Drosophila melanogaster: one gene and its partners. The protein of the gene in region 1 purifies or fractionates together with the protein of each later gene. This does not show direct contact. Each region holds a gene or a part of one and is shown on either strand. Other genes may lie near its edges.

What was found.
Region 2: the proteins of scra (region 1) and pnut purify together in Drosophila melanogaster (affinity purification with western blotting; 3 studies listed by BioGRID, with this or other methods). This does not show direct contact.
Region 3: the proteins of scra (region 1) and Septin2 purify together in Drosophila melanogaster (affinity purification with western blotting; 2 studies listed by BioGRID, with this or other methods). This does not show direct contact.
Region 4: the proteins of scra (region 1) and Impbeta11 purify together in Drosophila melanogaster (affinity purification with western blotting, with the first as the bait; one study listed by BioGRID). This does not show direct contact.

What each region holds. Positions count from the first base shown.
Region 1 is NT_033778.4:7,588,608-7,595,778, forward strand, and holds scra (scraps), read left to right. Parts: upstream 1-1,511; 5' UTR 1,512-1,836; coding exon 1,837-1,854; intron 1,855-1,960; coding exon 1,961-2,275; intron 2,276-2,338; coding exon 2,339-3,266; intron 3,267-3,330; coding exon 3,331-3,696; intron 3,697-3,754; coding exon 3,755-3,926; coding exon of another isoform or gene 3,927-3,978; exon of another isoform or gene 3,979-4,062; intron 4,063-4,087; coding exon 4,088-4,226; intron 4,227-4,293; coding exon 4,294-4,470; intron 4,471-4,531; coding exon 4,532-4,753; intron 4,754-4,810; coding exon 4,811-5,174; intron 5,175-5,287; coding exon 5,288-5,586; intron 5,587-5,649; coding exon 5,650-6,369; 3' UTR 6,370-6,635; downstream 6,636-7,171. Other genes in the region: CG1360 (uncharacterized protein), read right to left, coding at 1-364, 660-927, 988-1,082. UniProt on the Drosophila melanogaster protein: Required for cytokinesis. Essential for the structural integrity of the cleavage furrow and for completion of cleavage furrow ingression and proper formation of the midbody.
Region 2 is NT_033778.4:8,235,505-8,240,823, reverse strand, and holds pnut (peanut), read right to left. Parts: upstream 3,554-5,319; 5' UTR 2,768-3,553; coding exon 1,148-2,767; 3' UTR 527-1,147; downstream 1-526. UniProt on the Drosophila melanogaster protein: Involved in cytokinesis and possibly cellularization. Also acts as an enhancer of the sina gene, thus having a role in photoreceptor development. May be involved in p53-dependent apoptosis.
Region 3 is NT_033777.3:20,585,591-20,590,177, forward strand, and holds Septin2 (septin 2), read right to left. Parts: upstream 2,767-4,587; 5' UTR 2,682-2,766; coding exon 2,534-2,681; exon of another isoform or gene 2,413-2,533; intron 2,406-2,412; exon of another isoform or gene 2,280-2,405; intron 1,868-2,279; coding exon 756-1,867; 3' UTR 539-755; downstream 1-538. Other genes in the region: Srp72 (signal recognition particle 72), read left to right, coding at 3,235-3,346, 3,408-4,435, 4,498-4,587. UniProt on the Drosophila melanogaster protein: Involved in cytokinesis.
Region 4 is NT_033778.4:15,680,991-15,687,941, reverse strand, and holds Impbeta11 (importin beta11), read right to left. Parts: upstream 5,224-6,951; 5' UTR 5,138-5,223; coding exon 3,020-5,137; exon of another isoform or gene 3,009-3,019; intron 2,939-3,008; coding exon of another isoform or gene 2,541-2,938; intron 2,423-2,540; coding exon of another isoform or gene 2,241-2,422; intron 2,182-2,240; coding exon of another isoform or gene 2,136-2,181; intron 2,077-2,135; coding exon of another isoform or gene 1,860-2,076; intron 1,718-1,859; coding exon 608-1,717; 3' UTR 527-607; downstream 1-526. Other genes in the region: Cep89 (centrosomal protein 89kDa), read left to right, coding at 1-507; CG30082 (uncharacterized protein), read left to right, coding at 1,860-2,076, 2,136-2,181, 2,241-2,422, 2,541-2,938; CG30091 (uncharacterized protein), read right to left, coding at 5,539-5,930, 5,998-6,128, 6,199-6,244, 6,300-6,951.

The DNA of each region.
Region 1 (7,171 bases):
GGGTTTTGGACTGCGTTTTTGGTGCGGTGGGCGCTGGCTGGGCAGGCTTCTTCTTTTTCTTCTTCGATGTCTGACTTGGGTTTTGGGAAGCTATGCCGACTGGTTGGGACGCGTTTTTGGATGGAGCTGGCGATTTCGAAGGCTGCTGCTGTCGCTGAGGCGCTTTTTGCTGCATTTTCAGGCCTGCATTGATATCTTTATTCGGCGCCTGAGACTTCTTCGTTTTGGCCTTCTTTTTGTTTTGGCCCGCTGGCGCAGGTTGTGTGACTACCATTGTCTCCTCCGTGGCTTTTACTTTGGCGCGCTTTCGGCTCTTCTCCAGAGCCAACATTGTCTTGTGATGGCAAACATCGCAGTCCACGGCCTGCAAAATGAATTGGGTTGTGGTTAGAGTGGCAGGAATGGGTCCATATGTACACACACAAAACACTGTATAAAGATCTTTCAGCTTCCTTGGTGTTAATTTAAATTATTATTTGCCCAGAAGCTTGATACATAAATTTATATTGCGCTTATAAGGTACTAAACTATCCATCTATACCATTCATCCATGGAAGCAAAGAGATATTATATTTATATTTATGAAATTAAAGAAATAAAAGTATTTTTTCCCACAATCTAGACATATTCTAGACATTCTATTAGCTCCTGGTTCTCACCATGTTACTGGCCATACGCTTCTTGAGCCACTTGGCCCGTTTCCTGGCCCCGCTGTTCATCTCGCCCTTTGCCATCTTGCCCTTCACGGCTTCCAGCTTGGTGATCAGTCTCCGGTTCTTAGCACTCTGCATCAGTTCTTGTGGCTGGAGGTGGAGCTGGTAGCGGCCACCTGTCCACTGGTTCCCGCAGCGGGAGCACATGCGTGCGGGTCCAAAGCTCTCCTCGGGCAACTGGACATTGTGCCGGGCCAGCTTCCTACAGGTGGTTCTGGGTTGTTTTGGAAACGAAATTTTAGTGGGTGCTTAAGGAATTGACAACGGATCTCACATGTAATAGGATTTGAGGATCCGTTCTGTGTGGGTTTGGTCGGTCAGCTTGGAGGCACAGTTCCACAGCAAATTTACTGTTTTTTGGTCACTCATGGCGGACGCTGACAATTTACTGAAAAAACAAATTCTATATATTTAAGCGTAATTATTTCCAGAAATGTTTTCCTACATTAATTAACGAAACCCCAACAGAAAAGCCAAACTTAAAGAGGTAGCCTAAATAGAGGAAACATGCCAAAATTCTAGCCAAAACATACAGCACTGACGGCACAACGTGTGCAGCTCACCAGAGAAATCAAAGGTGCATTTCAAGCCTAATTCCAGGTTCTTAACTTACCAGCTATGCGTGATAAATATTGAAAGTGATACGTGGTAAATTACGGTTGGATATTCATATTATAACATCAATAAAAACCCTTTTTGATAACGCTTTAAGAAAAATAAACAGCTGTCGGCCGAAATTAAACCGGTAAATATGTGTGATTGGTGAACCGGTTTAACCATTGATGTGCGACAGAGCTGCCACCCTGCCAAATACGACAAAGTGGCAGCCCTTGGCAACTCACCACTGGCATTTTCTCCCCAATTTCGGTATTTCGTCGTGGTCAGTTGAGGGTCCTATGGCATTTGCGCGTCGTTTTGAAATTATTCAACACATCTGAAAAGCCAACCGCCGAAACGAGCAGAAGCGACGCGCAGAATTTCGAATGCAAACGGACGCGCAACCCGCCAGTGAAAAACAAACATCAAATATCGCCAACGTGGAGTGTCGAGCAGTACAGTGAATTCAATAGCATAGTGCGCGCAATCACAACTCGCATTTGCATTTGCAGCTGCAGCAACAACAATGGACCCGTTTACTCAGGTACGAGGCCAATTCGCACACAGCAAAGCCCTTTGTCTGGTGATTGCACTGGTGTTAGTGAAGGCACCCGCGGATTTTCACTGCTATTTCCCATTTTCCCTTGCAGCACATGCTCGAGAAGGCGGAACAGCGCAGTCGCGCCCTTGGCATCAGCAATGCCAGCAAATTTCCGCTCGTCGAGTGCAGCGTTCCAAGCTCCTCCGCCACCTCCGCATCCGGCGGGGATGCTGGGGTCCTGGCACCGAGGAGCCGGTCGCCTGGAGGCCAGAGCGCGGCTAGCGGCGGCGGCAAGGTCGTTACGTTGGGAAAGGCCACGCTGGAGGCGTCGCCGGCGAAGCCGCTGCGTCACTATACGGCGGTAAACAAGGAAAACTTGGATATGGGCATAGAGATAAACATAACCACGGACAAGCCAATTGGGGTAAGTTTTCCCGTTCTTTTCTGGGTTCTTCCCTTTTGCTCATCCTTGCTGCACTACCTTCAGGTGCAAGTTGAGATTCAGGAGCAGGAGGTGACAGATGACGAAGAGCAGGCGGAAGGAGGTGCGCTAAATCCCCTGCTGGAGGCGGAACCAGTAAACCAGCCCCTAGCCAGGCTAAGGGACACTTCCCGCAGCCGACTGCAACGCATGGGTGCCCTGTACTCAAACACGGACGATCTATCCTCCCCAATCCACCGAACCGAGGGGCAGTTCCATGTGACAACGGGTGAGGAAGAGGACTGCGGCAACCGTAGCAGCAGGCAACCAAAACAACGGTTGGGCAAACTGGCCGCCTTGGCGGATACCATCAATCAGTGGGAGGATGACACGTCGCACCACGAAGTGCACAGACTGCTCGAAGCACCTCCACCGAAACCGCATTTGTCCAGTCGAAGGGCCGAGAAGGGTCCAGCTCCACTGCCACCCAAGAAGGATGAAGTCGACGAGGCAAGCAGGACCAAGCAGCTGAAGTGGGATCCCAAGGTATTGAGCTCTCTGGAGGCACAAGGTTTTCAGCGCCGCGAATCATCGACCATTAAACACACATATGATTATGCCAAACAGGAAGAGGCGGCCCCAGCCTCCAAAGTGGAAGATGCGGTATTAACTGCCAAGCCGCCAGTGCCGCAGAAATCAACGACGGTCAGCCAGGTCGCCAAGAACTTTGCATCTTCCGCCCCAGCGCCTAAGCCCGCACCAGCGCCTGCTGTTAGTGTGAAGTCCGGCTTGGTTTCCGGACGGGCGGCTCTCTTTGAAAACAAGGGAACCGGAGGACAGTCGCAAGGCCTACGCAACCAGAAGGATCCTTGTGAGCTGTCGCTGAAGGAGCGGATGAAGCTGTTCGAAACGGGCAACAACAAAGCGATGTTGCCGATGGCGCCAATAGGATCTGCTCCCAGTATTACCCAAATCCGAGCGGAAGAGGTGAAACGTGAGTTTGGCAGCCCTTCTATATTCATAATAGCTACTCATACTCATTTTTTTTTTGTTAACAGAACATTTAGCTGCAATGCATCCGGTGACTGCTGCCGCAGCTACTACCGTGGTTGCAGCAACCAAGCCGAAACAGGAAAACAAGCTGCGTGACAAGGTGGCCGCTTTGGTGGCAAATGCGCAATCAAGTGCAGAGACGCGTATCAAGGACATTGATCGCCAAAGGCAGGAAGACATGCAGATTATTTCTAATCGCTTTAACAAACAAAAGGAGCTCTTTGACAATCAACCATCCGATAGTTCTGTGGCTGCTCAAGCTCGACCTCCCGCGCCAGCTCCCAGCAGAGTAGTGCGGCCCATGCCACCGCCTCCACCACCGCCCATCGCTGCTCTCTCGCCCGGACTGGCCAGCAGCAAGAGGCGATCACGTAAGAAATGACTAAACCCTTTATCTAAGGACTTGTCCTTATACATCCGCAATTTCAGCTGGTGATGCGCCCACCACTGACGAGGATTCGAAGCGAGCCCGCAAATCGCATTCGGATCGTCTGTATCCCGCCCTGTCCGACCTCGACTCCAGCGGTGACAACTGCTGCGCCGCCGAAACTGCCTCCGCTACGGATGACAGCCATCAACAGGACGAGGAGGAAACCGAAAGGTGCGCTGAAAAATGCTATTCCTGCTTGCTATTTCTGCTCTGCATCGAGTAGCATTCCAAGACTGATAGGCCTAAGAGACATAGCTTTAAACCCCATCCCCTAGACAAGACCAACAATAAAATCGCTTTCTTAACTAACCGTTTATCTTTGATTCGTGCAGTTGCATGGATGAGTCCGACGACCAGTCACAGACTGAGGACAGTAGCGCCGGCATGTGCAATGGCAGTCTTGGCCGCGAGATAATGAGCGCAGTGCAGCGCAACGAAGTGGAGATGCAGCAGCAGCAGACGGGCAAGAAGGTAAGTGCAGGTAAAAACTGTCAACACAGCGGGTGGTCACCATTAACACGATTTCACACCTTTCCAGACTGTGCGCTATGCGGACCAGGACATGTATTACGATGACAGCTCTCTGAACTCGTCGCAGGTCTCAGCGGGCATCGATGATTATCTGGATGAAGCACTTGTCGAGGACTACGGCAGCACTCAGGATGACCAGAGCGACAGCGGGGACGAGCAAAATGCCAGTCGGCTGTCCTTGGGCGTGAGTACTTGCTGATTAAGTTTCCTCGTATATCAAAACAATTCTTTAATTACATTTTCAGAGCAAAGGAACGACGGCCTCAAACAGCTTTTCCTTCCGAAAAAATCCTGCCTCTATTTGCACGCCTATCGAAGAGCACCATGAGATGGAGATGGACCTGCAGACGCCACTGCTCAGTGGTGCCCAGCCGGTCAAGTCTGAATTGAGTGTCAACCAGGACAACGACAACCTGGTTACCCTGGTGCACACGGTCAGCTTCTATCGCCGCCAACAGAGCGCTAACGTGAGTTGATTACTTATATATCACAACTAACAAATTCTAAGTACTCGTTGTTTATAGAGCTCCAATTCCACACCGGTTCGCAAGATCTGTCGAGAGCAGCAGGTCATGCGATCAGCCCTAGCAGGCGATTGTCATGCCAAGCACAGACTGGAGTACGACTCTCCTCAGCAGTCTGATTATGTCGCAGCAGCAACTGACATAGCTGATCAGACCGACGAGGACGATGAAGAGATGCAGAATGCGCGGGAAGTAAACGATGCATCGCAGGCACAAGACAAGATCAAAAAGCTGTTGAGCGAGGTGTGCAAGCAGCAGCAGGTGATAGGACAAGCCAGTCAGGCCCTCAACCTTTGTGCTGCCACCGTAGAATTCTCCGGCTCCACAGAGTCCGTGGAGGGAGAGCGATATCTCCTTCTTGCAAGTAAGTGTGATCTTCAGTGTATTCAAGTATAAATTGCCTGTTCGTTGAATTCCAAACCGAATTGGCAATTTGAATGTCCAATTAAGCTGAACATCTCTTTAATATCCTTGCAGCCCATCGACGCCAGGCGTGTTTGGATGAAGTCCAGCGTTTAAGAGTTGAGAACAGTATTCGTCCGGTGGGTGCACCAAAAGAAAAGGGCCTACTGACGGTCAAGGACATAACCATTCCACTGCGACAGGAGTACGTGCGTAAAATGGCCTCGAACAACATTAACGGCCATCATCTTGTGTGCCTCCTGAAGTACAATGAGCACGTGCTGGCCACCAAGACAGTACCCACGATGCCAGGGCTGCTGTCTGTCAAGTTTCCCGATGTCCTGCAACTAAACAATGTATATGCTGACTTCAGGGTAAATATTGCTTTTTGCTTCTTTAGCCAATATTCGATTTTATTGCGAAAACTTCGTCTGCAGATCACGCTAGAAATCTATGGCATGTTGGCCCAACGCGATCAGCTGCCTCACGAGCTGAAATACCACATCAACTTGAACAAGAAGGGTGGCATCAAGACGCCAAAGAAGAAGGGCGGCGAGAATCGACTGGTGATGCCGCCAGTACAAAGTCCGGCGGGACCGCATGTGGTACGGACACCGCAGCTGGTGCAATACGGCTTTGCCATTTTCTCGCTGCGTGAAATTCAACGCACCACATGGACGCTGACCCAGGTGCTGGGCGTCAGTCCACTGGAGGGTGTGGTTCACATGAAAGTCAATTGCGAACTATCCGTAAGCGTGGAGTACAAGGGATTCCTTACCATGTTCGAAGACATCTCCGGTTTCGGGGCATGGCATCGTCGTTGGTGCTATCTGAATGGCTCCGTGATCAACTACTGGAAGTACCCGGATGATGAGAAGCGCAAGACGCCAATGGGTAGTATAGATCTGAATTCCTGCACTTCGCAGAAGGTGACCACGGCACCGCGCGACATTTGCGCCCGTCTCAACACCATGCTGCTGGAGTGCGAACGGCCGGCGCTGGAGACAGACCAAGAGTCCTTGATAATCGTACCCAACGGACGTACCACCACGGTGCGCCATCTGCTCTCAGCCGACACAAAGGAGGAGCGCGAGGAGTGGTGCGCCTACCTTAACAAGGCACTGACACTGCTGCGCGCCTGGGGAACCACCCACTGACCCGCTGACCCATTGCAATTTTGTCAGCAGCACGGACAATGACCACAAACGGGCGGGTTGTTAACAGTTTTCTCTTTTTAAGTTACTCAATTTGCTATTTTAATCGTGTTCGCATTGGTATTAATTTTGTTTTATGTTTCCAATTCAAATTTTTCGTTTCCATCTTGGAGTGGGACACGTTCGTGTTCGTCTATATCGACATAACTTTTTACTTATGTACATTTAATTTAGGATGACTCGCTAAATATATATGTGTAAACCCCCGTAAAAAGAACTAACGCCAATTGTACACTGATTATTTAATATAGTTTATTGAATACTTTTATACACGTAGTACACATTTACATTCACATATGTATATCGTTTTGCAAGAACTCGTGGCTAAGAAGAAATCGCTACGTGGCTTCCGCGTGTTAACTATCTTTTTATCTCTGACCATCCGGAATCTAACAACAAGTGAAAGTTAAAGCTTGCGTGTTATCACGACGCCGGCTGTTCTAGTGCCCATCTCGGCTTCGGCACCAGGTTTTCTGTACTGTGTAGGTGGTTCATGTCAGGTAGTCAGTGTGTCTGCTCCTTGGCCATCTCAATTGACTCTGGGTGGAAGATTGTAACTTCCTTGCGTTTGTCACTTGGCCTAAAGGTCGGCCTAAAGGCTATCTACAAAAGTGGATTACGCATTGCCGCCGGCGGAGTGTTCAGTGTGGGTTCCTCTAGTTCACAACACTATCAAATGTATAGATATATATTTCTCGTATAGGTATATATGTATGTATATATTTTGACTTGAATCTGCTGTTAG
Region 2 (5,319 bases), 650 kb from region 1:
ATTCTGACCTAAATTGTGGCCGCATAAGGCGAAAGATTGTATATGTACATGTACTGACTTATAGGGAGTGTCAGGCTTTTCGTAATTGCTTGAGTCGCACATATGGGCAAGAACTGCATAAAGGGTATTTCTTAGGAAACGAAAAGCATGATACTTTTAGGTGGCACCAACGGTTCGCGTTAGTTTTCACTGGTCCAATAAGCATCACACATACATACATACATACATAGCAGTGTGAGAGGTAAACACTTTTAATTGTTTGCGGCGAGTGATTTACCTATCCGCTTGACTCGAGCCACGTTCCCAGTCAATGCTCCTGCGGAATGACTCATCCATTAGCTCATGGTTAACTAAGATATTGAGAATGTAATCGTCATATCCAAATCGCCATATCCATCGTCATGCCTATCATACCCAGACGTGTGCCAAGCGGACCCGTTCCGCTGCAGTTGAGTAAACAACGAATTTAATATGGAATGCTTTTCAGCTTTTATGTAGTTAAACTAAGGAGAAGACTTTATTTTATAAAATGCAAGAGTATATTTTGTTTCTTGATGTTTTCTGCTGCGCTTGCGGCTTTTGCCTTGCTGGTGTGTGTTCGGGTGTTCAATGACTTTATGCATAATAGGTAAAATACAATTACAATATCAATAGCATACGTTATACATGGATTCGTTATTCGTTATAATTAATTTTAGGATCAATTTCGCCTCGCACTCGTACATTCTGCTTAGTTTTTATTATGATTAGGCTTTAAGATACTTAAGTATTTTGCAAATACCGTTTGTTACTGTCTCGATTTAATTCGTTTGCGTGTTCAATTCATTAGGCTAGCAAATGTGTTTCGTCAAGTAATGCGTGGATATATATTGGTAAAATACTGCAACTGCTATGTGTTATATGTACTTGTATAGTATGTAGAAAACAAATGCAACGCCGTCGCTGGACGATTGCTGTGCGAATAGAAGCCTTGTGGGGCGGCTGGGCCCAACAATAGATATATTTATGCACTTTTCGAATTACTTTATGTGGTAGGAATAAGAGTAGGATACGCTAGGGTTTTCATTTGCTTTGTTCTCGAGATTAGCGCTTAAGTATACGAGGAGCGGAAGGGGGTTTGGGGAATGGGGGTTTTGAGCGTGTTGACTTAGAACAGACCCTTCTTTTTCTTCTCCTTCTTGCCATCCACATTGTCCGTGCTGCTGTTGGCCCCCAGGCTGCGTCGCTTGAGCTCCTCGAGCGTCACGTGGTTGACATCCTCCCACTCCTTCTTCTCGCGCTCGAACTCGCGTCTCTTCTCCTCCAGCTCCCGGATCTGCAGCTCCAGCGCCTTCTTGCGCTCCTCGTGGCGCCGCGCCAGCTCCAGCTCCGAGTCCCTGAGCTTCTGCATCTTCTCCTTGACCTTCATGTCAAACACCTGCTCCATCTCGGCCTCCATCTTCTTCATCTTCTGCTCGTGCTCCCGCTTTTCCTCCTCCATCTGGGTGAGTGGGTTCTTGTTGGACAGCCTGGCCTTGCCGTCCACCAATCCCAGCTCGGATAGCTTCCGGCAGCGGTAGTTCTCGTAGTGGACGTTGTTCGTCACGTCCTTGAGGTCCTGAAGGTGCGTGCGTATGACCATGTTGCGCAGCGCTATAAAGTCGCAATGCGTCAGGTTCTCCACCTCCACCAGGCCCCAGGGATAACGCCTACCCCGGACCTTCTTTCCGTCCTGCTCGATGATGGTGTTGGCACCCACCACCGCGAATGGCACTCGGCTGCGCAAATTCTGCGTGGTTTTGGCCTCCTCGGCCGCATCCTCCAGCGTGGCGGGGAAGTCGTAGATCTTGATCTTGTGCTGGGCGATCTCGTTAAGGATCTGCTTCTTAAATAGATGCACCTCGTCGGGCGTCATGGTGTCCGCCTTGGCGATCACCGGCACCAGATTTACCTTGTCCGACAGGCTCTGCATGCAGGCAATGTCCAGCGGCAGGAGTCCGTGTCCCGATGGCGCTATGAAGTAGAGGCAGCAGTGCACCCGGCTGTCCGAAATGGTTTTTCGGTACACCCGCGACTCGGCTGTCAGGTACTCCTCGTACTTGCTATCCACGTACTCCAGTATGGGCACCCAGCAGTTGCTGTTGTCAACGGCATCACCGAATCCGGGTGTGTCCACCACCGTGAGTGTCAGATTGACGCCGTTCTCCTTGAGCATTACTTTGGTGGCCTCCACGGCCACGGTCTTCTTTTTGCGCAGCGAGGGGCCCGGATACTGTTCCGCGTTGTAGATGTCCGACAGGAACATGGAGTTGATCAGCGTCGACTTGCCCAGCCCACTGGCGCCCACCACCATCAGAGTGAACTCGAATCCCCGCTTGACGGCCTTGCGATAGACCTGATTGGGCAGGTTGGCGAAGCCCACATAGCCGGCGATCTCCATGGGCTTCTGGCGCACCGGGAGCGGTGGCTTCTGTGGCTTCTGCGCCTGCTGGTGCTCCTTCTCCTGCAGATCGTGGGTCAGTTTGTTCGAGTCGCCGTTGGAGGCGCCTCCGCCGCTGGTGTCCAGCTTGCCACTGGCGGCCACTGGCACACTGGGCGGCTGATTGGGCGGTCGTCCACCGACGCCCACCAAGGACTCGCTGCCGCTGCTGCCGTTCGTGGCAGAGGACGCCGATGCCGACGCAGCCTGCTGCTTGTCGCGCAGAGCCAGTTGGGCCAGAGTGCTGGGCAGAGCGGAGATGGCGCCGCCGCTGCCGCCATTAACCGCGTTCGAGCGAGGACTATTCATTGGAATAGCGCCAAATTCGCCTTTGAGCCTTCGATATTCGTTCGCAGGTGGGCTTCACTGTATTTATTCACTTTGCTTGCACAGAACCGTTGCTTTTTCACCGCTTTTGTCACGCCTACGCCAGCTCTTTTACGCTCTTACTTTTCTTGCATTTTCTGTGTCAGTAGGACCGTGCGCTGCAACGCGATAAATACTTCTGCTCCGCTCTCGCAGGCAACAACAACGCCCCAGCTCAGGCGCAGTGTGACCCTGGAAAATACCGGACGAGAGCCGCGAATATACCAAACGACGCTTGGAGTGAGAGCGCATGAGTAATGCGACACATACACACAGAGATACACGCACCCATACTGCCGCAGCAATGCACATGCAAACGGGCAAAGAGAACTATTTTCTGGTGGCCTTATCACTTGAAATGGAATGTTATGTTTAAAAATAGGCAATGAAACGCATTCATGTGTCCCAGCACTTGGGATTCCAGATTTCTGGCCTGAATGACTGCACTGGAGTGGCCACGGATCGCATTACAATCGCCCGCTGATGCACAGGAAGAAATTATCCGTCTAGATGACTTTGACTTTTGCCTTAAGCAGGGGTGGATTACTGAGGGGTTTTTTGACTACATATCGAACTATATTTATTTTAAAACATTTTCAGTTTATGTTTGTCCATTTTTATAGGGAATTAATTTCTATGGTACACCATAACGGGTTTTTAAATAAAATTGTTCACTACGCCCATGACTTTTGTGGTTACGGGTTCCCTTTAATTTTTGTTGCAATGTTGCGCATGCCCGTGAGAGCAGCAGAAGGAGCAGAGAAAGAAGAAGAGGAAGCTGAGCTTATCTCTCTCGCTGAGAACTAAAGATGCTTCTGTCGCGTGGGTGTTGTTATTGTGACGCTGAGAACTCGACTTTCGCTTCTCTCTCACACTTGCTATAATTCCATTCGACTCTGTTTGGAAAGAGGTTAGTGAGCTAACTAACGCCCCTTGTGGGCGTGTGAGAAGTGCCATAAAAAGGAGCTGGATAATAACTGGCCTCTGTCGTTTGACCCGCTTCATGCTCGAGTGTCCTCGTCGAAAGTTCCCACACACGCCTCGTCCTGGCACCCTCTCTACCCCACCCTCTACGCGTCATCGCATGCCGATGCATACACGCACACGGACAAAGCCCGTTGATTGTGCGCTCTGCGTTTCGGTTTGTTTGTAATTTAAATTCTCATGCACTTCTGGCGATCGTCACTGGTAGAGGGGGAGGGGGAGAGGGAGGTACTAACCACCACCATTAAGAGGGTCCTGCGTCCTACTCCGCCTGCTTGGTGGTGGTGGTTTCCTTCCTTCCTACCATCCAGCCTTCCTTGCTTCCGAACTTCCCCCTTTTGCACGTGGATTTCCACCAAACGCCGTCTGCGCGACAACAAGGTGATCGTGAGAAAGTTTTTTTCTCACATTATTCCAAAGCGACTCCTGTTTTAATTTTAGCCTCTATCGGAATTAATATGCATTTATGAATTGATATGACTCGCGGTGGCTCGATTTTTACCCTAGGGGATGACTGTACTTATTGGAGGATTTACAGTTGTTGTCGTCAAGGGAAAAGGTAAATCGAGGGAAGTTCTGTGGAATTTTGTGGCTAGAGATCCCCTTGTTTCTTGTTATTCTTACTAATTTGATTGTCGATTGCATTTTATGATCTCAATACATATTTTTTGTTCTAAAAAGTTATTTAATGAATTCTTTTTCATTCTTTATCAAACTTTATTTTAAGCTTTATTAATACATTTAACATTTATGACCATCCGAAACCATTTGATTAACCCAAAATATAAGGAGAAAGTCGATTTTATTCATTAAGTCTATTTATATGTATATTTACTTTAGCTTCCTTAAACTAATTTTATATTGCTTTTTTGGGTGCATCTTTAACGATTAAAAACATACGCGTATGTACTTTCGTACTTTTTTATAGCACTACTTTTTTATAGCACTAAAAAGTTGATTTTCTATTATCGTATTCATCAATGCTAAATACATTTCATTTTTGGCTGGGGGCTTCGAAACTAGATGTTTTTTACGACAGATGTTAGGTCTTGAAATGTGCCACCGCAACTGCAACCGCAAATCTTTACAGCGAACAAATCCCACCTAATCTCCCCGCAACCCTTCCTCGTGTTCATAGTTTTGAGATCTTGAGCAGCTGTTTCGCATCAGGCACACTCCATACGAAATCCATTCGGAGACGCATCTTCTTCAATATTATGTAAGATGCTTGCCAGCAATTAGGGCCCGCTAGAAGCCAGAGGAAAACCCGTGCGCCCCTGAAAAGTCACTATTTCTTAGCGCCGACCATTGTCCGGGCCAAGTCCATTGTTCTCGTGGCTCGAAGAAGTGGCGGGGGATGCAGCCGGGAGAATGGAGTCGGCAGCTGTGCCAATTCTTGGCACGAGAGCAAGGACAGTTTAGTGCAAATGTTGGCTTAGGAGCAGCTGATCCACCAAGTGACCGTTACATCAGCTGGCATGGGTCACCAATCAATGGAATCAATGATATGG
Region 3 (4,587 bases), on another chromosome or scaffold:
ACAAAAAACAAACACAAAGGGGTATCTTGCTTTTTGCCAACGGATACACCCACTTTCATGGACTATTCTCTACGTTGAACACGGTTAATTGCTTTCGTTTGGGTTACGGAGCACTGGACTCCGTGATTGCGTCGAATTCGCTGCGGTGATTCTATTATTGCGTTTTTAATTTGTTCTATAATTTTTGCAGCCTGCAGTGAATGAGTGGGTAACAGTGTGACCAGGTGGCAAGCACAAGACAAGTAAAATAAGGCCGTACTACACTTACGTCCTACGAAAAGCCCGCCAATCTTGAAATTCAAATTACCATGTTTTTGTATTTAAAAAGCGGAGCTTAAAAGAAATTCAAGGAAAATATAAACTTAATATGTATTGATACATATCAATCAGTGACTTCTAAGGAAACCAGGATAATCTTAGATAAAATGTTATTTTGTTGTCTTTATCCAGCGGTGCCTTCAATACACACTTAAAAACACATTATATCGACAAAAGTTTACAATTTTTTGAATACAAGTTTCCGGCAAACAGCTCTTTTCTACTTTGTTAAAATACTAAGTTCGATTTATTCGTTAGTTGTAAATACATAATCATTATATGCCTGCGTACATATGCGTGTAGTTGTGTATATGTTAATATTTGAAGTAAACTTAATAGTACAAATGAAAGACAACGAGATGAGAAAGCAATAATTACTTTGGGATAAGCGAACCGCACAGAATTCTCAATACATTGTGAGGCGGCGGCGCCGGATTCTACTTCTTCTTGCTCTTGCCGAGGGTGAGCGTGTGGTGGGCGGTGGCCAACTGCTGCTTGCGCCGCTGGAAGTCAAGGTAGTCCTCCTCGAGCGCCTTGCGCGACTCTTCCAGCTTGCGCTTCTCCTCGGCGTGATCCCGCTTTAGCTTCTCGAACTTGGCGTGCAGGTCCTTCTCGCTCTCCTTCAGCTCGGCCTCCTTCTCCTTAACGCGCTGCACGAACATCTGACGAACCTCCTCCTCCTTGGACTGCAGCTCGGCCAAATGGTTGGAGCGCTTTGCCTCGAACGTCTGCTGGAACGAGATGGGCTTGTTGTCGCTGTCCACATCGCTGAAGCCCATTTGCTCCAGCCTCTTCTGGCGATACAGCTCGTAGTGGCGCGTGTGTGTCTTTTCGCGCATATCCTCCATGTTGGTGCGAATGAGCATCTCGCGCAGCTTCACAAAGTCGCAGTGCGTCTCGTTCTCCACCTGCACCGTGCCCCAGGGGTACTGGCGAGCGCGGATGAGCTTGTTGCCCACCTTAATAAACTCCGTGCTGCCCACCACGGCGAAGGGAATGTGCGAGTTCATGCTGGTGTTGGTCTCGGCCACCGTCTCATCGTCGGTGGGGAACTGGTAGATGTGCACTCCATTGGCGTTTAGCTCCTGAATGATCTTCGCCTTGAAGCGCTGTAGCTCAACCTTGGAAATGGTATCCGCCTTGGCAATCACCGGAATTATGTTCACCTTGCTGTCCAGCTTCTTCATGCACACCAGGTCCAGCGATTTGAGGCCGTGCCCAGTGGGGCAAATAAAGTAGAGGCAGATGTGGATGCGGCTGTCGTGGCATGTCACCAGCGATCGCTTGATCTTCAGCTCCTCCTGCAGATAGTTCTCGAACTGTGCGTCGATGTAGTCCACCACCGCCTTGAACGAGTCGTCCTTGTTGATCTGATCGCCGTAGCCAACCGTGTCGCAGATGGTGAGCTTGAGTCGCACATTGCTCTCCTGCAGCTCGTAGGTGTGTGCCTTCAACTTGACGCTCGGCAAAGTGTGGGGACTCGGCGTGGACTCGAAGCTGGTGTTGAACAGCGTGTCCATCAGCGTCGACTTGCCCAGTCCGGTTTCGCCTGCGGAGCGTAAAGATTTCGAAATGCGGGTCAGATTTGTGCCAGATTTGGGGAACCTTAGCCTAAGTGAGCTCAATTGGCCATAGAAGCACTGCGGCATTGGTGTCAGGGTGAAATTGTAGAAAGTGGCGGAGGCAATCGATTGCCGGCCACTTTGCATACTAATCGTATCTGGGCGTCTGGTTATTTCAATTGTTTACCCGCTTTTATGTACCTAAGTGATTCACTTTATCTGAGCAATGCACTCCAACATGAGACACTTGAGTACATAGCACAGCGGTGTTCAAAACAATAGCATCTTTATTTCAAGATGTGCTGTGCAATAGTCTTTGCTTTCAATAAATAATTGTATTTCTAATATGATTTTACTGATTTTACTCGTATTAAAGTTTAACAAATAAAAAGCACACACCTCGGTTTTTATTTCATTCTCTCTGCATCGAGCTACCACTGTATGTCCAATTTCTAATTGGTGTGCAAACAAAGCCATCTTTGAGTTAAGAAGCAACAAAAGTTTGAAACCTTCTCCAAGTGACTCCTTTATGGAATATAAAAAATCAGTGCTATTGCTTTGGTCACCACTGTTTTGTATGCAAGCAAAACTTCGGTTGATTCACTGTGCCGCATACACACGCACACACGCAAAGTTCACCCGCATATACACACCTATACACATGACGTTGAAGACGAATCCATTCTGGACACTCTTGTTGACCAGTTGGTCAGGCAAGCTGTCGAATCCCACGTGACCGGACTGCTTCAGGGTGCGGAGGTGCACCTCCTTCTTGTCGACGAAATCCACCTCAACGGACATTTTCCAATAGTCAAGTCAAATAATCCAATAATCCGGGCGCAGAGTTTGGATCAAAGGCGTCGCCAGCGAATATGCAAGTGTGGCCAGATACGCGGAGCCCAAAATACCAGCGGCTCAAAGAAGTGTGTGGATATAGATGAACAAGAAAATTATAACTTAACAAAGAATTAAAAAACAATTATTTAATGAATTACATGTGCCATAATGGCAAATAGTGAAACGAAATTGATAATCAAACAGTGAAATGCACTTCATGGATTAAGATTTTAGTACACATCATTTAGCGTTTCAGTTTTTAATAACTAATAATAAAATGTCCCATTCATAGATATTTATGCATAAGTTATTAATTAAATGTAAATAGTTTAAAAAATTAAATGTCTTAACTGTTTCCGCCATCTGGCATCTCTGGTTGCACACAGAAGCGATCTGGCAGGTCCGCATTGCTGATGTGTCTACAGCTGTAAAAACTTGCATGTTAAACGGAAAGTCGAAAGTTTAAGTCAGTGAATAAAATATATATTACCACCCACTAACGTGCTGAGCAAACAGGATGTCAAAGGACGCTAATCCCAAGGAGGCGCTCATAAAGGCGGCTTACGCTGATGTGAATAAGTTCGGCAATAACCAGGAGTTTGACAAGGCTGTCAAGGCAGTGAATCGCAGTAAGTTTTTCAGATTACCGAGGTTATAATCCAGAAGATGACTCCCTATGATCTCTCATAGTCCTAGGCGTAGCGCCCGACGATCCCACCGCCCTGCACTGCAAGGTAGTCTGCCTGGTGCAGCTTTCCAAGTTCGAGGAGGCCTACAAGTTTATTGAGAAAAATCGACTGTCCTCGCTTTTCTTTGAGAAGGCCTACTGCGAGTACCAACTTAACAAGCAGCAGCAAGCGCTTAAGACCATAGACGATGCGGGTCTGCAGCCCCTGCCTCCGAACCTTAAGGAGCTCCGAACCCAGGTCCTGTACCGCTTGGAGCGCTACGATGAGTGCCTAGACTCCTATCGCGACATCATTAAGAACACCAGTGACGAGTACGAGGAAGAGCGTCGGACCAATCTCAGCGCCGTGGCCGCCAACTTGGCTGTGGATCAGACCAAGGAGGTGCCCGAGGTGCCGGAAGACACCTACGAGCAGTACTTCAACAGCGCGTGCATCCAGGCTAATCGGCAGAAGTATGCTGAAGCCGAGCGCAAGTTGCGCACCAGCGAGAAGCTCTGTCTTGAGGATGAGTGTGCCTCCGAGGAGGAGATCATTGAAGAGGTAGACGTCATTCGCGTCCAACTGGCCTATGTCCTCCAACTGCAGGGCAAGACCAAGGAGGCGTCCAGCATCTACGCGGACTGCCTGCGTCATAAGCCAAAGGACGCAGCCCTGGTGGCCGTGGCAAGCAACAACTTGGTGGTGGTCAATAAGGACCAGAACGTCTTCGATTCCAAGAAGAAGATACGCGCTGCCCTAGCCGACGCCTGTGAGTCTAGGCTCACCTCGCGCCAGAAGCAGGTCATAGCCCTCAACAACTGTCTGCTAGCACTTTACACTAATGCCGGCGACCAAGTGCAACAGCTTAGCCAAAAGCTAGCTCAGACCTACCCGCAGGTGGAATTCGAGGCGCTGCTCATTCGCTGCACCCAGCTGGCCAAAGATCGCAAGCACAAGGAGGCCATCGAGCAGCTACAAAAGTTCGCTGCAGCCCACAAGTCGCACGAATTCGTCAGCAAATTTGCCATCATACAACTTCAGCTGCTTCAGGTAAGTTGCCATAAGTCGTAAGTCGAAAATGGAATCTTATTTTTTGTATTTCGTTGCTTTAGGGCAACCGCAAGGATGCAATTGAAACACTGCTGTCATTGGGCGAAGCCAAGTACAAGCCTGGCGTTGTCTCCGCTCTAGTATCCCTTTAT
Region 4 (6,951 bases), 8.1 Mb from region 1:
CTGCAGGCGGCCTACGCGCGAACTAAATCCGAACTAGCCGCGCTTAAAAGTGCCTCATCGGCGGCGCCCGCTGCGGTTGCTCCTCCAGTTCCCGCCGAATCCGAGGCACTGCATCAGTGCAAAGCCCTGCTTGAGCAATTGCGGCAGGAGCATGCGAGAGAGCGAACTTGCCTCCAGGAACAGCTGCAAGCCACCACCGCACGGGCAGCTTCACTGGTCCGCAGCACGGAAAAAGCCAAGCACAGCAGAGATCGGCTTAAGGCTCGTCTGAGAATGGCGCTGCAGTGGGCCCAAAAGCTGGAGGCAGGGCAGGCTGAGGTGCGCGATACCTACGAGGCGGTACGCCGCCTGGAAGTACTTGTCCAGCACAAGGAGTCACAATTGCGCGGATTGCATGCCCGGAATGCAGAAGAAATGGACAAGTTGCGTCATAAGTTACAGCAGAAGGAGGAAACGATATGTGCGCTGCTTAGAGGCAAAATGGAGCGCAGACCGGCGGTGGATTAACGCGTAGAACATAGTTTTTAACAATTAAAAATATATAATTTCAATACAAAATACATTAATAACTTAGCGTAGAAAGCTTTTAAAGCACAGCAGTCCGGAATCAGCCGGACTCCACCTGTTCGGAGAGCGTCCTGTCCGCAGGCGCTCCCGATCCGGAGCCGGAGCCCGCGCACACCACACAGGCCTTGGGCACAGTCTGCTCTATGTACATGGTAATCCTTTCCCGTACCTCGGGAACCACGGAGCACATTACCTGCTCATATCGCTGGGATCCCAGCTGTGCCTGCAACGACTGCAGCTGCCACTTGAGATACTCGGTAAGGGGGATCTTGTAAACGGGATCTTTGAGCACCAACTGCCTGTGGCGGTCGTCGTGATAGGTCTTGGCCGGGTAGCCCTTGGTGTGAAATTCCTCGCTGACACCGCCGCCACTGCCCAGCTGCTGCTGCAGATCGTCCAGCTCGTGTTCGTCATGAATGACCAATGAATCATAGAAGCGAGGCGTGGCCTGTGACGCACCCTCCTCGGTGGCGGCGTACTGCTTGTCCATCACTTCGCCCAACGTTTCGTCCACCAGCTGCAGGATATGTGGCAGGCGAGCAAGCAGCAGCTCATTGCTTCCAAAGATCGAGGCGAAGGCCAGGCAGAAGAGCTTTCTCTTCTCTGCGTGCGTGTCGGGAACCATTGGGAACATCTCGATCCAAACGTCCAGGATGCGGGCCAAAGCGTCCGCTTGTGGCAATTGCTGTACCACCGACATGAAAACAGACTGGTCAATGAGCAGGGTGCGGGCCACGATGGTCAGATACCATCCCATTGTCATGGGATACTCCTGCTTAAGGCACACCTGCTGGAAGACAAAGGGCAGTGCTGGGCGCACCAGCCGCAGTCCCAACGCCGCGTCCGTTTTCAGGCATGTCTCGATGATCCGCAGCATGGCAATTATTCCCTCCACACGTATGTCCTCGAAAGAGCGCACGCAGTAGGCCACGAAACCCTCACCGTAACGACTCAGATAGGCCTGAGCGTCCAGCAGTATATAGGCATGAATCAGCTGCAGCACGGTGCGCAGGTTCTCCGATGACATCTCGATAATAGGCAGAAGGTGGTCGCACAGACCAAGTAGTTCGGGTGTCAGTGCAGTCGAGTTCCCAATCACCGCCAGCCAGAGCATGATACCATCTTCGATGAGGTAGACGTGCGAGGGTTGCTGTGCGAAAAAAAGTTAGGTATTGTTACTCATTGCGGTTTCATAAAATGCTATATTTTAGCTTAGTTACAGATAAGATTGTTGTGAAAGAATGAATGCTAAACCATTAAAAATAATCAGTACAGCCAGTGTTGACCTCAAGATGAAATCGCTGTGGATTGCTAGTTTCGCCTTTCTGGTTTGTCTAACACCAAAACTAAGAGCCCAGTTTATTGATCCCAATTGCGGAACTACCATCAATCTTCCGCCCACGAATAGAATCGTTGGAGGTAGAACTGCAGATATAGGATCTAATCCGTGGTTGGCCTACTTGCACAAAAACTCGTCTTTAGTTTGTACAGGCACATTGATCACAAAAAGTTTGTACCTTCGGAAATTTGTGATTTACGAATTGTATTTTTAACAATGATTTTCCTAGGGTTTGTACTCACCGCAGCGCACTGCCTGCACAGCTTCCATTTGTTGTTAGTATAAAGTATAAGCTCGTATTTGATTTTTAAACTAAATTAATTCTAAAACACAGAACGGTTCGCCTTGGGGAATACGACACATCGACACGCATCGATTGTACATCTGAGTTCTGTATTCCGACGTATGAGGAGTACAGCGTAGAGAACGCCTACATCCATACATTCTTCGGTGGAAGACAAGACAGTCGCAACGACATTGGATTGCTTAAACTAAATGGAACCGTCGTTTACAAATGTTAGATGCCATCATATGTATCAATTTAGTTTATCCCCAATTTTATATTGCTCTACGGATGAACGGATCTACTAAGCGGTGTGCATTACAGTTACTTTACTATTATTCTCATTTGCAGTGTTCATTCGACCAATTTGTCTGTTCCGGGATCCAGGCCAAGTACCTTATAGTTCCACCTACGAGGCCGCTGGATGGGGTAAGATTGATCTAATCAACACCGCCACAGTTCTGCAAACAGTGAACCTGATCAGGCTTGACCAAAGCGACTGTGAGCGATCCCTGCGCACTTCGCTTTCATACGGTCAGTTCTGCGCTGGACAATGGCGGGCGGACACCTGTAGCGGTGACTCAGGCGGTCCGCTGTCGAGGAAAATGTCAAATGGCCGCATAACCCGCACCGTTCAGCTAGGTATTGTCAGCTATGGTCACTACTTGTGTCGAGGGCCAGGAGTCTACACATACGTTCCAAGTTTTACTAACTGGATACTCAGTATTACCCGCTGGACTCAAAACTGACTCAACTATGTAAAAATTCTTATTGTAAATAAATAAAAAAAAATGTATAGCATATGGAATTAAACATAAAAAATCACTCACCTGAAGATCCGTGCTCAGCTCGATCACGCTGTAGAGGAAGGGCTTCATGGGCTCTGGGACATCCCGTATCGTTCGAACCAGCTGCTCTAGGGTGCCAATGATGGCGCAGCGCAGAAGGTCGTGTTCCTCGCTCTCGCGCCACAGGAGGGGTAAATACGCAATGAACTGCAATGCCTGCGGCTCGATGTACTCGCTCATCTTCTCCACAAGTAGCGTCATCGTGCCCAGCACCACGATCTTGGTGTCGCACTCGCCGGCCTCATGGAGCAGCAAAAAGAGGGCCTCGAAGAGGGATGGAAAATACGGGTGGAACGCTTCCGGCATAAACTCAAAATCGTCGATCAACAGATTCAACGTCCTGGCAGCGGCCAACCTGGTGGGCATGTCCTCCTGCGGCCGGAGAAGATGCAGGCATGCTTCGTAAGCCAGCGGTCTCAGTTCTCTGGGCAACTGGACGCCAACCCAATGGCCTACCAGCCAGATGATGCGACGCCGTAGGATCCGAAAGTTCAGAGCTTCCACGCGCAGCTCCGCAAGCAATTGGGATGTCAGCCATGCGCCAAAGTCCAGCTTGTTAAAGAAATGAAAGGCTGCCTGGCCTACGGCATTGTAGATAGCGTCTTTCAGTAGAATGGCCTTCAGGTCAGATTCCGGGGTCAGCTGCAATTGCTGGGCACGCCTTACGAAACGGAGCACCTCCGGAATCATCACTTGCGAATGCTGAGTAAAACATGTGAAATAAAGGGTCTCCACGCTTGGCCTTAAGGCGTACTTCCAAGCATCACCACCGCCGTCGTCCTGGTCATAGCCCTCTGGATCCTGCTGCCACTCCTCCAGCTCCTGTTGAGTGAGCAGAAAATAGTGCGTCACGATCTTCTCACAGATGTAGGTCACTCGCTCCGCTGTGAAGAACTTGGCTTGGCTTTGAGCAGCGCTGGCTAACAGCTCATCCTCTATGTGAGCACCACCTTCGGGCGGAGCACTGATGCTATCGTTGCCGCTCAGCATGATACCTTTCAGCATGTTCAGCGCCTGTATGGCAAAGTTTTTAAAGTTAATGCGATCGCCGGCGTCGAAAATGAGGGCGGTGCCCTCGTGGAACACATAGTGGAAGCTGAACTCCAGGGCCACAGGAACGAACCTCGCAAAGGACACAGAATGCCGCTCCATCAGTTCATTGAGGGTCTTCATCATCTTAATCACAAAGCGCTCCAATTCGGTGAGTATCGTGGCAGTGCCTGGTGTGGCCGATCCCACTTTCAGTTCATAGCGCAGTTCGAGGCACTGTCGCAACCGCTGGAAAAGCTGCTCCACAAAGTTCATGTGATCCGTGGACTTGTACGGCTTGGCACAGCCGTAGACCACCAGCTTGCGCAGGGTTCTCATCACCACATACGCCCGTTGAAGGGCATTGAGGGCCATGGCCTCGTCCTTTCGCACGAGCTGCAAAAAGCGCGTCGTAAGTGGTGCCCAAATGTCCCACGCCAGATATCCAAATATCTGTAAGCCCAGCTCCTGGAAGGCACGCTGCTCGGCCATCAGACGCCGTGAGGCCAGGGCCTTGAGGACATAGTGTAGGACAATAAGAATTCGCTGCTGCAGGGCCGAATCCCCATCCGTACCGCAGGACTGCAGCTGCTTCATGAGTGTCGGCAGCAGATCCGGCCAAAATCGCGGGTAATCCGTGCGTGCCAGGCGACCCAGGAGCACGGCTACCTGCAGGGCTACCTGGGGCACTTCCTCTGCGTCGTAGTGACGCAGAAGTACTTCCCGGATCTGCTGCTTTTGCTCCGCGGGCAGTTCCTGCCGCGAATTGGGCCGCCAATAGCGCTCCACGCCATTCTTTAGGTAGACAGCCGCCATCCAGCGCACCTTCACCTCGGAGTCCTCCGTACTGGACACCACGTCGCCGCCGCCACCTCGTCGCATGCTCAGACGGGCAATCGTGGGAAAGAAGCCCGGCTGCTGCTCCCACTCGCGCAGCTGCGCCTCCGCCTTCTGGACAATCTCATGGCTCGGATTTGTGGCCGCCTGCAGTGTCTGGGCTACCAGCTGCTCCACCGACGCTCCAGCACCCGCTGCGGCTGCTCCAGATACTGCTCCCGTTGCCATTTCCATCACACGACGCCTCCTCTTGCGACGCTTGCGAGGACGAAAATTATTGGCAAATTTCTGCGGCGCGTGCTGCTTCTTGCTTGAATTTCAGTGTGACCGACCGCAAATGCTGGAAAATACTAAAACAGCAAATTTTAATATAAATAATTTTGCAAAAAATTTCAAATTTAAATTATTGTTTGTTAAGTTTTTGTTGAAATGGAATTTTAAAAGAAATTACAATACATTTAATAACAACTATTACTAAAATAGTATTTCTGAATATATAAGTAATTTTGCAAGCATTTAAACTTCTCGTTAAGTGGGCTTACAGTATATGAAATTTTTGATATTATTATTACTATTAACTTTATTAAATCAAATGGTTTTCATATCGCAGAACTTAAAACTTTTCAAAGAATTCTCTACGCCTTAACCATTTCCCCGATCCAGTCCAAGTATTCGAGAACATTGGTGTAGACATTTGAAGCGAAAGGCTCTAACCTGCCAAAGCTCGCCAGTCCGACCAGGCTGAATGCCCTCCTGTTTCCGTGGGTTAGAGGGTTTACCAAGGGACTGCCAATGCCCACGCGCAGGAGATGAGGAGAAGGGCTTTCCATGCACAACTGTTGCTCTCCGATGTCTTGGTGATCCTCCCGGTAGCACTTACTGGCATTTGTTCGCCGCACCACCACGTTAGTCGGCGTGCCCCAGCCAACGGCTATGAGATTCAGGGCGGGATCAGCAGCACGCCTTTGGAACTTCTGCTGCTCCGCTTTGTTGCTTAGCGAGGGCAGGCAGATCGGTCGAATCGATTCTAGCCGCATAAAATGAACACATTATGATTATGAAGCTAATCCGTATGGCCTTTGGAAGACACTCACCCGTGTACTGCACTTCCTCGCCCAGTTTAAGCAGAGCTATGTCGTTTTGGGCCAGGCTAACGAATTTGGGATGCTTGTGAACAGATGCGACAGCGTAGGTATGCACATCGCCTTGTCCCAGTTGAACCTTTCTAGATGTATGTACATACAATTGCACTCAGATTACTCAACTTTCTCCTCCCAAGGGATCAAAGTACTTACAATGCCGTACTTTCGGAAATCAACTGCGCCGTTGTCACCACGAAAGCTACAAGAAGAACACATTAGTAATCTTTTCGAATGAGGAAAGAAAAGATGACAACTTTTCGAAATAAGTGCGCCGTTTGAGATTATAAAGGAATCCTTGTAGACCTCAGCCAACCACTCGAAGGACCTGATCGCATCGGGACCACTTCTATCCCAGCTGTTCAACGTGTCGTTGCCCAGACACCCAGCATCGAGTAGGTCTATATAGGGTAGCACCACCTCAATGTCCGCATCCAGAACAATGCGCTCGATAAAGTCGATATGGCCCATTACATCGGTGTACATACCGAAACCTCTGCAATCTTCGGTGCCAGTGCTGACGATTCCCAACTGCGTTGCTCGCTTGATGCCATCGAACAACATATGTATGTACAAGGGTCCACCGGAGTCCCTTTTGCAGGTATCTCTGCCTACCGCGGTGCCGGCACAGAACATTGGGTAATCAAAAGTGTACCAAAATGCTGCCTCGCACATTTTCCTATCTATTCTGTAGATCTTGACCATTTGAAGATTGTTACTCATCTTCCCATTGCCCGTTACGCCCCAGCCGATTGCTGTGAACTCCTGGATGAGATCCGTTTGCGGCTTGAGTTGGTCGTTCAGTAAAATACATAACGGTTTGATTTGTGGCTTGTAAACGATACTTTTTTGCAACCTAAGAAGCGCTATGTCATTGCGATAGTTTTGTATCGCGAAGGAATCGTGGAT